2 linked regions of the Arabidopsis thaliana genome follow. The protein of the gene in region 2 interacts with the protein of the main gene of each other region in a pairwise test. Each region holds a gene or a part of one and is shown on either strand. Other genes may lie near its edges. The genes, in order: G6PD4 and ATHM2.

Evidence for each region.
Region 1: the proteins of ATHM2 (region 2) and G6PD4 interact in a two-hybrid assay, tested with the Arabidopsis thaliana proteins (one study listed by BioGRID).

The regions. Positions count from the first base shown.
Region 1 is NC_003070.9:3,037,819-3,043,809, reverse strand, and holds G6PD4 (glucose-6-phosphate dehydrogenase 4), read left to right. Parts: upstream 1-1,936; 5' UTR 1,937-2,094; coding exon 2,095-2,196; intron 2,197-2,430; coding exon 2,431-2,635; intron 2,636-2,721; coding exon 2,722-2,969; intron 2,970-3,066; coding exon 3,067-3,161; intron 3,162-3,245; coding exon 3,246-3,360; intron 3,361-3,491; coding exon 3,492-3,697; intron 3,698-3,777; coding exon 3,778-3,886; intron 3,887-3,985; coding exon 3,986-4,020; intron 4,021-4,139; coding exon 4,140-4,296; intron 4,297-4,360; coding exon of another isoform or gene 4,361-4,366; coding exon 4,367-4,563; exon of another isoform or gene 4,564-4,638; coding exon 4,639-4,839; exon of another isoform or gene 4,840-4,866; intron 4,867-4,932; coding exon 4,933-5,170; 3' UTR 5,171-5,341; downstream 5,342-5,991. Other genes in the region: ACLA-3 (ATP-citrate lyase A-3), read right to left, coding at 7-88, 180-294, 392-443, 714-794, 906-1,067, 1,144-1,320, 1,577-1,675; NIMIN-3 (NIM1-interacting 3), read left to right, coding at 5,562-5,900. UniProt on the Arabidopsis thaliana protein: Seems to be a catalytically inactive enzyme.
Region 2 is NC_003075.7:1,561,508-1,566,157, reverse strand, and holds ATHM2 (Thioredoxin superfamily protein), read left to right. Parts: upstream 1-1,953; 5' UTR 1,954-2,102; coding exon 2,103-2,346; intron 2,347-2,762; exon of another isoform or gene 2,763-2,921; intron 2,922-3,256; coding exon 3,257-3,573; 3' UTR 3,574-3,955; downstream 3,956-4,650. UniProt on the Arabidopsis thaliana protein: Thiol-disulfide oxidoreductase that may participate in various redox reactions. May activate NADP-malate dehydrogenase.

The sequences.
Region 1 (5,991 bases), on a different chromosome or scaffold from region 2:
TTAAACCTTCTCATCTAAACCATGGATGAAGTTCTCTGTAGAACTGAGGACCCTTCCAAATGGCAGAGGAAATTCAATGTCTCCCCACCTGTATTAATAAAACTTATCAATCCAATGAGTTTCCACCGGAAAAATTGATTGCGGGTCTCTCACCGGGAACTTAGAAATGTTAGACATACTTGTTGAAATTCTTGAAGGCAGCAGTGTCATCTAATTCTCCTCTCATATCCAGAGGGAATGGTTCTCCATCGACTAGTGTAAAAGGATTCATCTCCATAAAACTGAAATCCAAATCTTTAAAGAAACACACAAGTAGATAATAAGAAGATGTCCTTGAGAGATCTCGAATCAGAGCAAAGTCAAGAAGTGGCCTAATCTAATATACTCATACCTTGAAATACAGCAAAGGCACCCATTATGAAGTTGCCGATTTTAGCTCGAACCTGAAATAGATAGAAGCATTTGTTAGAGCAGGCATAGCATAGTTCAAAACAACCTAAATTATTAATCTCCTTAAAAAAGAATGCAAGTACTGAGCAGCCTAAGTTCAGACTAACAGATCTTTGAATTTGCATAGGATTGAAAGTAGAACACCATACAAAGACCGAAAATGTACGCACATCAAAACCAGATTTCTAGGGTTATCTAAAGCAAATAGTTGCAGGGTGCCGCTGGCTTACTAGGAAGTTAATCACAGGGGAACAGAAACTTACCTCAAGAGGAAGAGTTGCTATTAATGGAGCACATACTTCTAGCGTCATCGACTTTTCCGCAGGAAGAAATATAGTCTTCACCTGTTGATACCAGAAAACCAAGTTCCCCAGGAGAAAACAACAGAAGTGAGTCGAAAAAGATAATGCAACAAAACAAGAAAAGAAGCACAAAAAAAAAAAAAAAGGTAGTACTTTGTCCCAATTCTCTTCTATTTCAATGCCACCACATTCAGAGAAGCTTATAGTGCATCCAAGTCTATCAGATACTATAGAGAGGTAGTATTCTTGATCATGAGGCACAAAAGGCTCCACAATGAATGTAGTGATAGGTGCTTTACATCCCTCCATCTCGACCTGCGACTCATAAACAAACATCAATACCACAACAAAATTTACCAGCTGATCTATAACTCTGGCTGCGATGAGTCACCTCAGTGCCGAGGCGGGCTTTGACAAAGTCTGCAACTTCAGCAAGATCCAGCTTTAGAGCTACCAAACCACTTTTCCCGCGTTTCCCAAATAGCATATCCGGTTTCACAACTAGCTTTGTGGACGATAGCCATGACTCCTGGTTGGTTAACTCAGTGAAATCCGTAGATTCTGTCACCTAAAAGTATACAACAATAAACGAATCACCCATCATCAGTAGTTCTAGTAATCAACTAATCATGCCATGTCCAAAGTCATCAGTAGAAAGAGATCTTTCCCAAGATTCTCACTTTCATTAGCTCTATCTAAGTCCAAGATTACTCTCAATAACATTCAGACAAAACACGATTCATTCAAGAGTTCCAATTGAATTGTGCTATCGAATTTCCACAAAGCAGATCGATGAAAACAAAACTAGAATTCGTGAGAATGACCTGAGCAGAGCGAATCTGCAGGTCAATATTAGCAAGACGCTTCAAATGCTCCTTGAGAAGTCTCTTGGAGTCATATTCTCTGATCTTCTTCCTCGCCATCGAATTACAAACAGTGATCGTCCTCAACACTAAACCACGGAAAGTGTTTCTCCGCCTGAAGTAGCTGAGAAGAAAAGGTGACAATTTTCGAGACGATAAGATCGATGAAGTTGAGAAGAAGATGATCTCACCAACTCAACGATGACGCCGACTCGGCGGGACCAGAAGAGACGTTGACGTTGAGATATCGAAAGTCAACCTACCCACCCCCGCCTAAACCACAAATTCAATTCTCTTTCCTCGAGAACCAACCGGTACGGTTCGGTTTAGAAGAACCCGACGATTATCTGAAAGTTGGAACCATTAATGGAGGCGTCAATCAGAAAACTTAAACTTGCACTCGTCTTCCACTTTGATCCACTTAAAGCAGCTTTAAAGCTTTGAACATGTTTAGCTATAATCCCTGAGGAACTATCCTCATGTCTCTCTCCAGTTGCTTGCTTCCCTTTTCTCAATCAGCGACGGCTCCGTCTTCCTCCGTCTGCTCTTGCCATCTCGCCGCCTCTTTTTCTAATTTTCCGGTAAGCACATGTATTCGCTCTACCTTTCATGCATGCTTTCGTTTTATCAAAAGGTCATTACTTTGAGAAACAAAGATTATTATTTTTCTTGGATTATGCTAATGTTTTCTGCAATCTCACCAAAGATCTCAAATTCGTGTTACATGCCCTCTGAATCTAAGCTTTAGTATATTATTGACCTTCGAAATCAACTTGATTTCTAGTTGTTGAAATTTCTCTATTTTGTGTGAATAGGTTTCGTCAAGAGACTATAGTTTCTCCAGAAGTGGAAGCCTTGTTCTCAACGGAGGAGGCTCGAATCTCTGCCGGAGATTCTGTGGTTTGAAACTGTGGATACTTAAGAGCTTGAATCGTAGACAAGGCAACAACAGAAAACATCAGCCTGTAAACGAGCTTACAACACACTCAAAGCACACTTTCCTCAGCGATGATGAACGAGGTCTAGTTCTAAGATATGAGTCAATTTACATCTCATGTCTTCACTTGATCATTCTTTAGCACTTCCTGAGGTAGAATGTGATGCAGGTTTTGCTGAAGAAACTAGAGCTGAAGATTTACGACCAGAAGAGAATATTCTGGGAACGGATTTGAATGATGGGTTTCACAATGTTGGAGACTTACCACCTGTGTCAAAACAACTCTCGGATGATCTTTCAGATGTTCGAAGAAGGGCCTCACTTTGCATTGCTGTTGTAGGAGCCACTGGTGAGCTAGCAAGAGGGAAGATTTTCCCGGCATTGTTTGCGTTGTATTATAGCGGCTACCTTCCTGAGGTATGACTTTTGTGCTCATGAACAATTACAAAGTAAGCAGCAAAACAGTTGGATAGTTTTTTTCGGTTGTCTTCTTGATTGGTCTTCATTGTCACAGGATGTTGCTATATTTGGGGTTTCAAGAAAGAATCTGACAGATGAAGACCTCAGATCCATCATTGCATCAACGCTGACTTGCCGTGTTGATCATCAGTATGTATAATTCTTGGTACTACCTTAAATTTGGTATCTCTGATATACGGCCGTGCTAGCTAAAGAATGATGCTAAATGTTCAGGGAGAATTGTGGGGGCAAGATGGATGCATTTCAGAGTAGAACATACTATATCAATGGAGGTTATAATAACAGGGATGGGATGTCCCGACTTGCCGAGAGAATGAAACAGATTGAGGTTCCTAAGTACCTTTTTTTCTTTCTTTCAATGATTACATTTTGTCCCAGAAGTAGTCCTCTTTCTGAGTTTACAACATTTTGAACAGACAAGCAAGATAGAATAAGACATTAACAGCTTTTCTTCTTCAGGGAGAATCAGAAGCAAATAGAATCTTTTACCTCTCAGTACCTCAAGAAGCTCTGGTGGATGTGGCATGCACCATTGGAGATAACGCTCAGGCACCACGAGGCTGGACTCGAATAATAGTTGAGAAACCTTTTGGTTTTAACTCACATTCGTCTCATCAGTTAACAAAGTCACTTCTCTCTAAGTTTGAAGAGAAGCAAATCTACAGGTCCTTCTTTTAAATCTAGTTGCTTTCTGCATGCACAGCTCTCAAGTTCATATTTCTTCACACTTCTGTGCCCGTTACAGGATAGATCACATGTTAGGAAGAAACCTCATTGAAAATCTGACAGTGTTAAGGTTTTCAAATCTAGTTTTTGAACCACTATGGAACAGAACATACATACGCAATATACAGGTAGTGTTTCCTTCTGATTGTTTGTAGTTGTGTATAGTGCCTGAACTTTCCTCTTCCACATTCTGGTTTGTTCACTTTGTGTATAAATGATGTTTCCAGGTTATTATATCAGAATCAATTGCGCAAACAGAAAAGTAAGGCACAATAGTTCTATTTTCACCATTTCTTTGCATGTGAGAGTAAATTGTGTTGTTTCAGCATTCTTAGACAAATCAGTAATGTTATTTTCTAATTTCCTACTGCTTTTTTTAAGGTTTTCTGATGGATATGGAATAATACGGGACATAGTGCACAGCCATATACTTCAGACAATCGCATTACTTGCCATGGAACCTCCGATAAGTCTCGATGGTGAAGATATCCGAAATGAAAAGGTCAACCTGTACTGTAAAGAACAAAATCGTCTTATGGTATATATGTAAGTTGTGTACTCTTGTTCTGTCAAGTGACTTGGTGACAAACCTGCTTCTGCAGGTGAAGGTTTTAAGATCAATTCGCAAGATAGACCCGCGTGATGTCATCCTTGGCCAGTATAAATCCAGTTCCCGAGACAAGAACGGTGTGATCTTGAACGGTGTAGACCCTACATATTGTGCAGCAGCCTTGTATATTGATAATGCACGTTGGGATGGTGTACCTTTCCTTGTAAGAGTTGGCACTGGCCTCATTAAACACAGGTAAGAATAATTATTCCTACTCATAGACATATCCAACTGTCATAACAATTGATTGGTGTGCCTTAATGTTGAAAGAGTGGAGATTCATGTGCAATTCCGGCATGTTCCTGGAAACCTATACCGAGAAAATATTGGAATAAACATAGATTTGGGGACAAATGAGCTTATTCTACGTGACGAACCTGATGAGGCCATCCTGGTGAAAATCAACAACAAGGTTCCTGGTTTAGGTCTTCAGCTAGACGCTTCTGAACTTAACTTGCTCTATAAAGACAGGCAAGTTTTGCATTCTCATCTTTGTTCCTACACATTTTAAAAATCGAACTTTTGCGCCTTATGGTTGGTTGAATTGTTGGATCAAACCTGTAGGTATAAAACCGAAGTACCAGACTCATATGAACACCTAATTCATGATGTAATTGACGGAGACAATCATCTGTTCATGAGAAGCGATGAGGTTGCAGCAGCATGGAACATTCTTAGTCCGGTTCTAGAAGAGATAGACAAGCATCACACAGCTCCGGAGTTGTATGAATTTGGTGGACGAGGACCAGTTGCGGCATACTATCTTTGGGCCAAGCACGGTGTCCCATGGGCAGATGACTGAAGAAGAAACATAGATGCAGCAACAAACAAATGAGAGTGATTCTGAATGGTTATTGTGAAGTGTGTTTGTTTAGCTTGAAGCTGTGCCATTCCCTGTAGACTGTACATATGTACACATGTATGTCATGTTGCTATATGAATGTCCATCATGGTGGGGTCCATAATAGTGTTGAAAAGTCTCCAAAGCCACCCAAAGGAAAGAAGAAAGTCTGAGAGACTTTTAGATAAGGTCATGTTGTTAGTCTTCCCACTAGAGGCAATAATTATATCTTCTCCACCAATTCCTCCAGAAAATTCTTCCAGATGTATCATGTGTTGATGATCAAAGTAGGATGAAAATGATGTAACTAAAGAGAAACATTTTCATAGGGGAAGGAAGAGAGAGCGGTTCAATGGACAGAGACAGAAAGAGGGTGAAAATGGAGAAGGAAGATGACGAAGAAGAAAAGATGGAGAAGTTGTACACAGTGCTTAAAAACGCAAGGGAAATGCGGAAATATGTCAACAGCTCCATGGAGAAGAAGAGACAGGAAGAAGAAGAAAGAGCAAGGGTTCGTAGATTCCCTTCGTTTCAGCCAGAAGATTTCATTTTCATGAATAAAGCAGAGGCCAACAACATTGAAAAAGCAGCTAATGAGAGCTCTTCAGCATCCAACGAGTATGATGGCTCTAAGGAAAAGCAAGAAGGATCTGAGACTAACGTTTGTTTAGACTTGAATCTTTCTCTGTAGCATACATACATACAAGAGACAAAGAGCTCTTCAGTTTCTGTATAAGCAACAAAGAATGTTAGTAACTACGTACCAAAAACAAATGTGTCAT
Region 2 (4,650 bases):
AGAAGACTGCTCATGAATCTTCGATGAAGCAATGACAAGTAGATCCGGTGAACTACTCCGACGAACACTCTTTCCATTTCGTTTACCCATGGAGAATCGAAACAGCTAACAAATGAGACTGGATCGCAAAGGAAACGAAGAGAAAACGTGTAGAAGTTCAAGAGAAGAAAAAAAATGAGAAGATGAACAAACTCCGGTGAGATTCCAGTGAAATCAAATCGGAAAAGTTTGTTACGAGACTGAGATCGAGATATTTTGCTCTGATACCATATTAGTAAAACAATCTCATTCTCATTAATTAGCAAAAGAGTACAATTGGGGGTTTATATACAAACTGATATTGGCCTAAACCATAAGCCTCTAAACCAAAATTAAGATTGGTTTATAGAATACCAACCTGTACAGACTCTATATGAAATCTATACTAACCAAACTAAGCTTATATACAACAATCTAAGCTATATACATTAATAGACGAAATTTTTAAACAAAACCCAGGATTCGAACATCAAATAACCCATCCCCAACGCAACAAATATTATCAACCAACTTTTCATTTCATCAATGACACTGTGAATCATATAAAAGAGATATGATGTCGGTGTTGAAGATAACTTCTTTATTGTAAGATTATTTTGATCGAATAAGCTGCCTCAAATCTTCTAATTTCGACAACTCTTTATCTGTGAGGACACTATGAACACGTTTGTAAAAATCCATCACTTGGTCTCTAGCTACCACCATTTTCTTTCTTCGCATAGGGCTGGGGAATAATGAGTTCTTACAGTGAAAACATAAGTGGTGACCGGACGCATTGAACCTAACATCGTAGAAAACATTGAGGAAATTTTTGTAACATAATAAAAAGAGACATGTGGAAAGAGAAAACAAAAATAAAACAAAATATTGAGAAGAAACCAAGAAAGGAGGAATTTCTTTAGTAGAGAGATCTACCGAGATTATAAAGAAATTGAGGAGTAGAAGAGATGTCAGCGAGCTAAAGTGACATCAGAGGAAAGACTTTGAAGTGGTTCCTCAATACTAGAGGTATATAAGAAAAAGAAAAAGAGGCAGATCCAAAATGTTGGTTTTGAAAGTTTTATAGATTTTTAAGATTTTGTTTTTGTTTTCATTTTTCAAGAGCTAATTGTCATACCATTACCAATCAAGTTTTAAAATGTTGGTTTTCCAAGAAAATACTTTTGCTATAATCTTTTTTTTTGTCATCAGATATTATTTAGGATTCAACGAACCAATTTTGAAGAAAATTGTTAACAAAAGCGAATTTTTCATGCCAAATAGTTTTTTATTCAAAATTTTAGACTTTTAGTTATCTTATAAGCAAGCGTTATAATTTATTTATTTTTTTAAAGAAAATTTTGAGAAAAACAATTGCGAAAAAATGTCAGGAGATCTTCAAATGTTCAAAAATACAAAAAAAAAAAAAAAAAAAAAAAAATTAGTGTGGGGTAAAATAATACGTTTAAATTTTATTGACTTTTCATTTCAATAGTCAACTTTTAGTGACTTCTTATTTCAGTCGCTAACTTTTTGTTGATGTTGCCAAAATAGTCATTAAATTGACCCGAGATCACAAATTGCGGGTAACGGAACTTTGTTAAAATTTCTGTTAAATCCACAAGTGACTGGATTAAAAAAAAAAAGTGCAACTGGCCTAATATGAGCCCAATAAAAAATATCTCAAAAGTTTTATGGGCTTATTACAGATGGGCTTAGTCAGAGCACTATCTTACCCAAACAATTAAAAAAACAATTTACAATATGTTTTCGTTTTCTACTTTTTTCGGTTATTTTGGGCAAATGATATCTACAGCTCAACAAATCAAAAAAATTCAAAAATATTTCAATTTATTATTTCTCGATTTTTTTCACAACTGTATTTTAATTGTATTTTTAGTAGAAATACTTATTTTTCCAAAAATATTTGTTTGTGTTGATGTATATATAAAAAATCTGCATCAGTGTTTTGTCTACATTTTCTCTTCCATTAGTTTCGTTATCTTTTTATTTTCTCTATCTATCTGGATATTATTTTTTCACTTGGGGATTTGGAGAAACCTCTCCTCTCTCTATCTATAGCCATGGCTGCTTTCACTTGTACCTCTCGTCCTCCGATTTCTCTCCGCTCCGAGACCAGAATCGTATCCTCATCACCATCGGCTTCTTCTCTCTCTTCTCGGCGGATGTTCGCCGTCTTACCGGAATCATCAGGTTTGAGAATCCGTCTTTCTCTCTCTCCGGCTTCGTTGACCTCGATTCATCAACCTAGGGTTTCTCGATTACGAAGAGCCGTCGTCTGTGAAGCTCAGGAAACTACTACCGATAGTATGTTTTCTCACTATTCCTTTTTCGATTTTGGTTATTAACTTGTCTTTGATTCGTGCTCGTTGGTGGATTTTGAGAACTGATTATTGATTTGTGCGAGGGAAATTAGAAGCAAGGTGCTTGAATTTGTGTTGTTGTTCTTGTTGTAGCATTTAGTAATCTGCTAAAAACTTGAGATTAGTTACAGATTAGTGAATCTGGAGGAGGAAGAAGAGTTTCTTTAGGAGAGTATACCTTTTGAGAAAATTCTTGCTGAAAATGAGGTTTCTGTTAGAGGAACGATTCATGCCATTTGCGTGAAATTTGAAGAAGGTTGCTTTTTAGGATCACTTCTTTTTTGGGGATATTTTACTTGATTAATGCAAAGTCTCTCTAACAAACCTAGAAATTAGGTTGGGTACCTACTCAGATATTTTATTGGTTGGATCATACACATTGTGACAAGAAACAGTTATTTGGCTCATGAGAGAAGAATGTTGCTTTTTGTGCTTTAGAGTAAACATATCTTGATTCTCTATACCAGCAGATAACGATTTTGGTTATCACTAGCATTGATATTCTACGATTTTAGATAGGTAAGTCCTTTTCCGTGATAATGTGTTTGGTGAGATTAGCAGTATTATCTGCTACAATGTTAACTCAGTCATTGGTCTCTCCTCTCTGGTGAAAACATAAAGCTTTATCCTTCACTGGATCTATCAAATTTCTATTTTGAAAAACTTTCACTTCTAGATCATTTTTAGGAAATATCATATAGACTTGCTACAACATACTGATCTAGCTGAAGATGGATAAACGGGTCAGCTGTCTCTTTGTTTTATTCGTCCACCTTGGCTGATATATTTTGTTTTCATTCATGATTCTAAAAGCTTTGGCAATAAGGTGTTGATTTGTGTTATTGATCCTGCAGTTCAAGTGGTCAATGACTCGACATGGGACTCTCTAGTTCTTAAAGCAACTGGGCCTGTAGTTGTCGACTTTTGGGCACCATGGTGTGGACCTTGCAAGATGATTGATCCGCTTGTAAACGATCTAGCACAGCATTACACTGGGAAGATCAAGTTCTACAAATTAAACACTGATGAATCTCCTAATACTCCCGGCCAGTACGGAGTTAGAAGCATCCCAACGATCATGATCTTTGTCGGTGGCGAGAAGAAGGATACAATCATAGGTGCAGTGCCCAAAACCACACTCACATCTAGCCTCGACAAGTTCTTGCCATGAAATATCACTTGTGGAGTCTGTAAGATCTCGTATCTCTCTGTCTCTCGTTCTTGTTCTCATTATCTCTGTAACTCATTATCACTGAACATCTAGACCTGGATAAATAATATGATGTCATGTCTTATGTCATTTTTACTGGTTTGAAGATGTTTTGAGATGCGGAACTAAAGGTATCAAAGAACAATCTTGGACTAGACTAATGGAACCACATTAAAATGATTCCACCAATCTTTTTTTGGTCATGAGAGAGATCTTAAGATTGTTTGGTTCTGCAAGTTTTTTGATGAACACACGCTAAGGTTTGTTACTTATTCTAAAACTCCTCGTATTAAAAGATATTATGCGACACTCTAATGAATGAGCACATGTATGCAAAAGGGGCTAAAGGTTCATACATGTCCTAATCTAAAGAAAGAATATACGTATTCAGCTGAAAAAGGTCTTTATCGACCACGAGCAAAAGAGAATAAATACGTTCGAAATATCTCCTTATTTTTGCATAAGCAAAGAAATTCATCCACCATAGTTTATGTGTACCCAATTTGTGGATAAGGATATGTCAATTAGGACAAAATGAATAATAGCCGAAAGAATTGAGTTATTTTTGGACTGATCCCACAGTTCCCGACAAGCTTTTGAGGTTTTAGAGTTGTTGATCCGGTCTATGACTAAAGTTCGACCAAAACCAAGTTATTTAGTTTGGACAATATAAATCAGAAATATCAAGAAGATAAATTATATGATTAGTTCATAAAGTTTTAGTTTTAGATTGCCAAGAAAATATTCTAATATATTAGGTCTGAACGAAAGTGTTAAATCTGATGAAACCTCTCTATTGGTAATGTCTTTTTTTTTTTTTTTTGGTTGCCGTCCTTGGTTTGAGAATTATATATTTAGGCTGAAGATAAGGTCAAAAGAAAGATGCAATCCGGTTTTATAATAATAGATCAGTTGGACTTTTATAAATGCATTTTCGTGACTTTTGTTTGTATCAAACAACTTTCATTATAATATTATGATTTGGACTTTGTAAATGGTCTTCTCGTGTCCTTTTGATTGTATCAACTTTCGCGACCT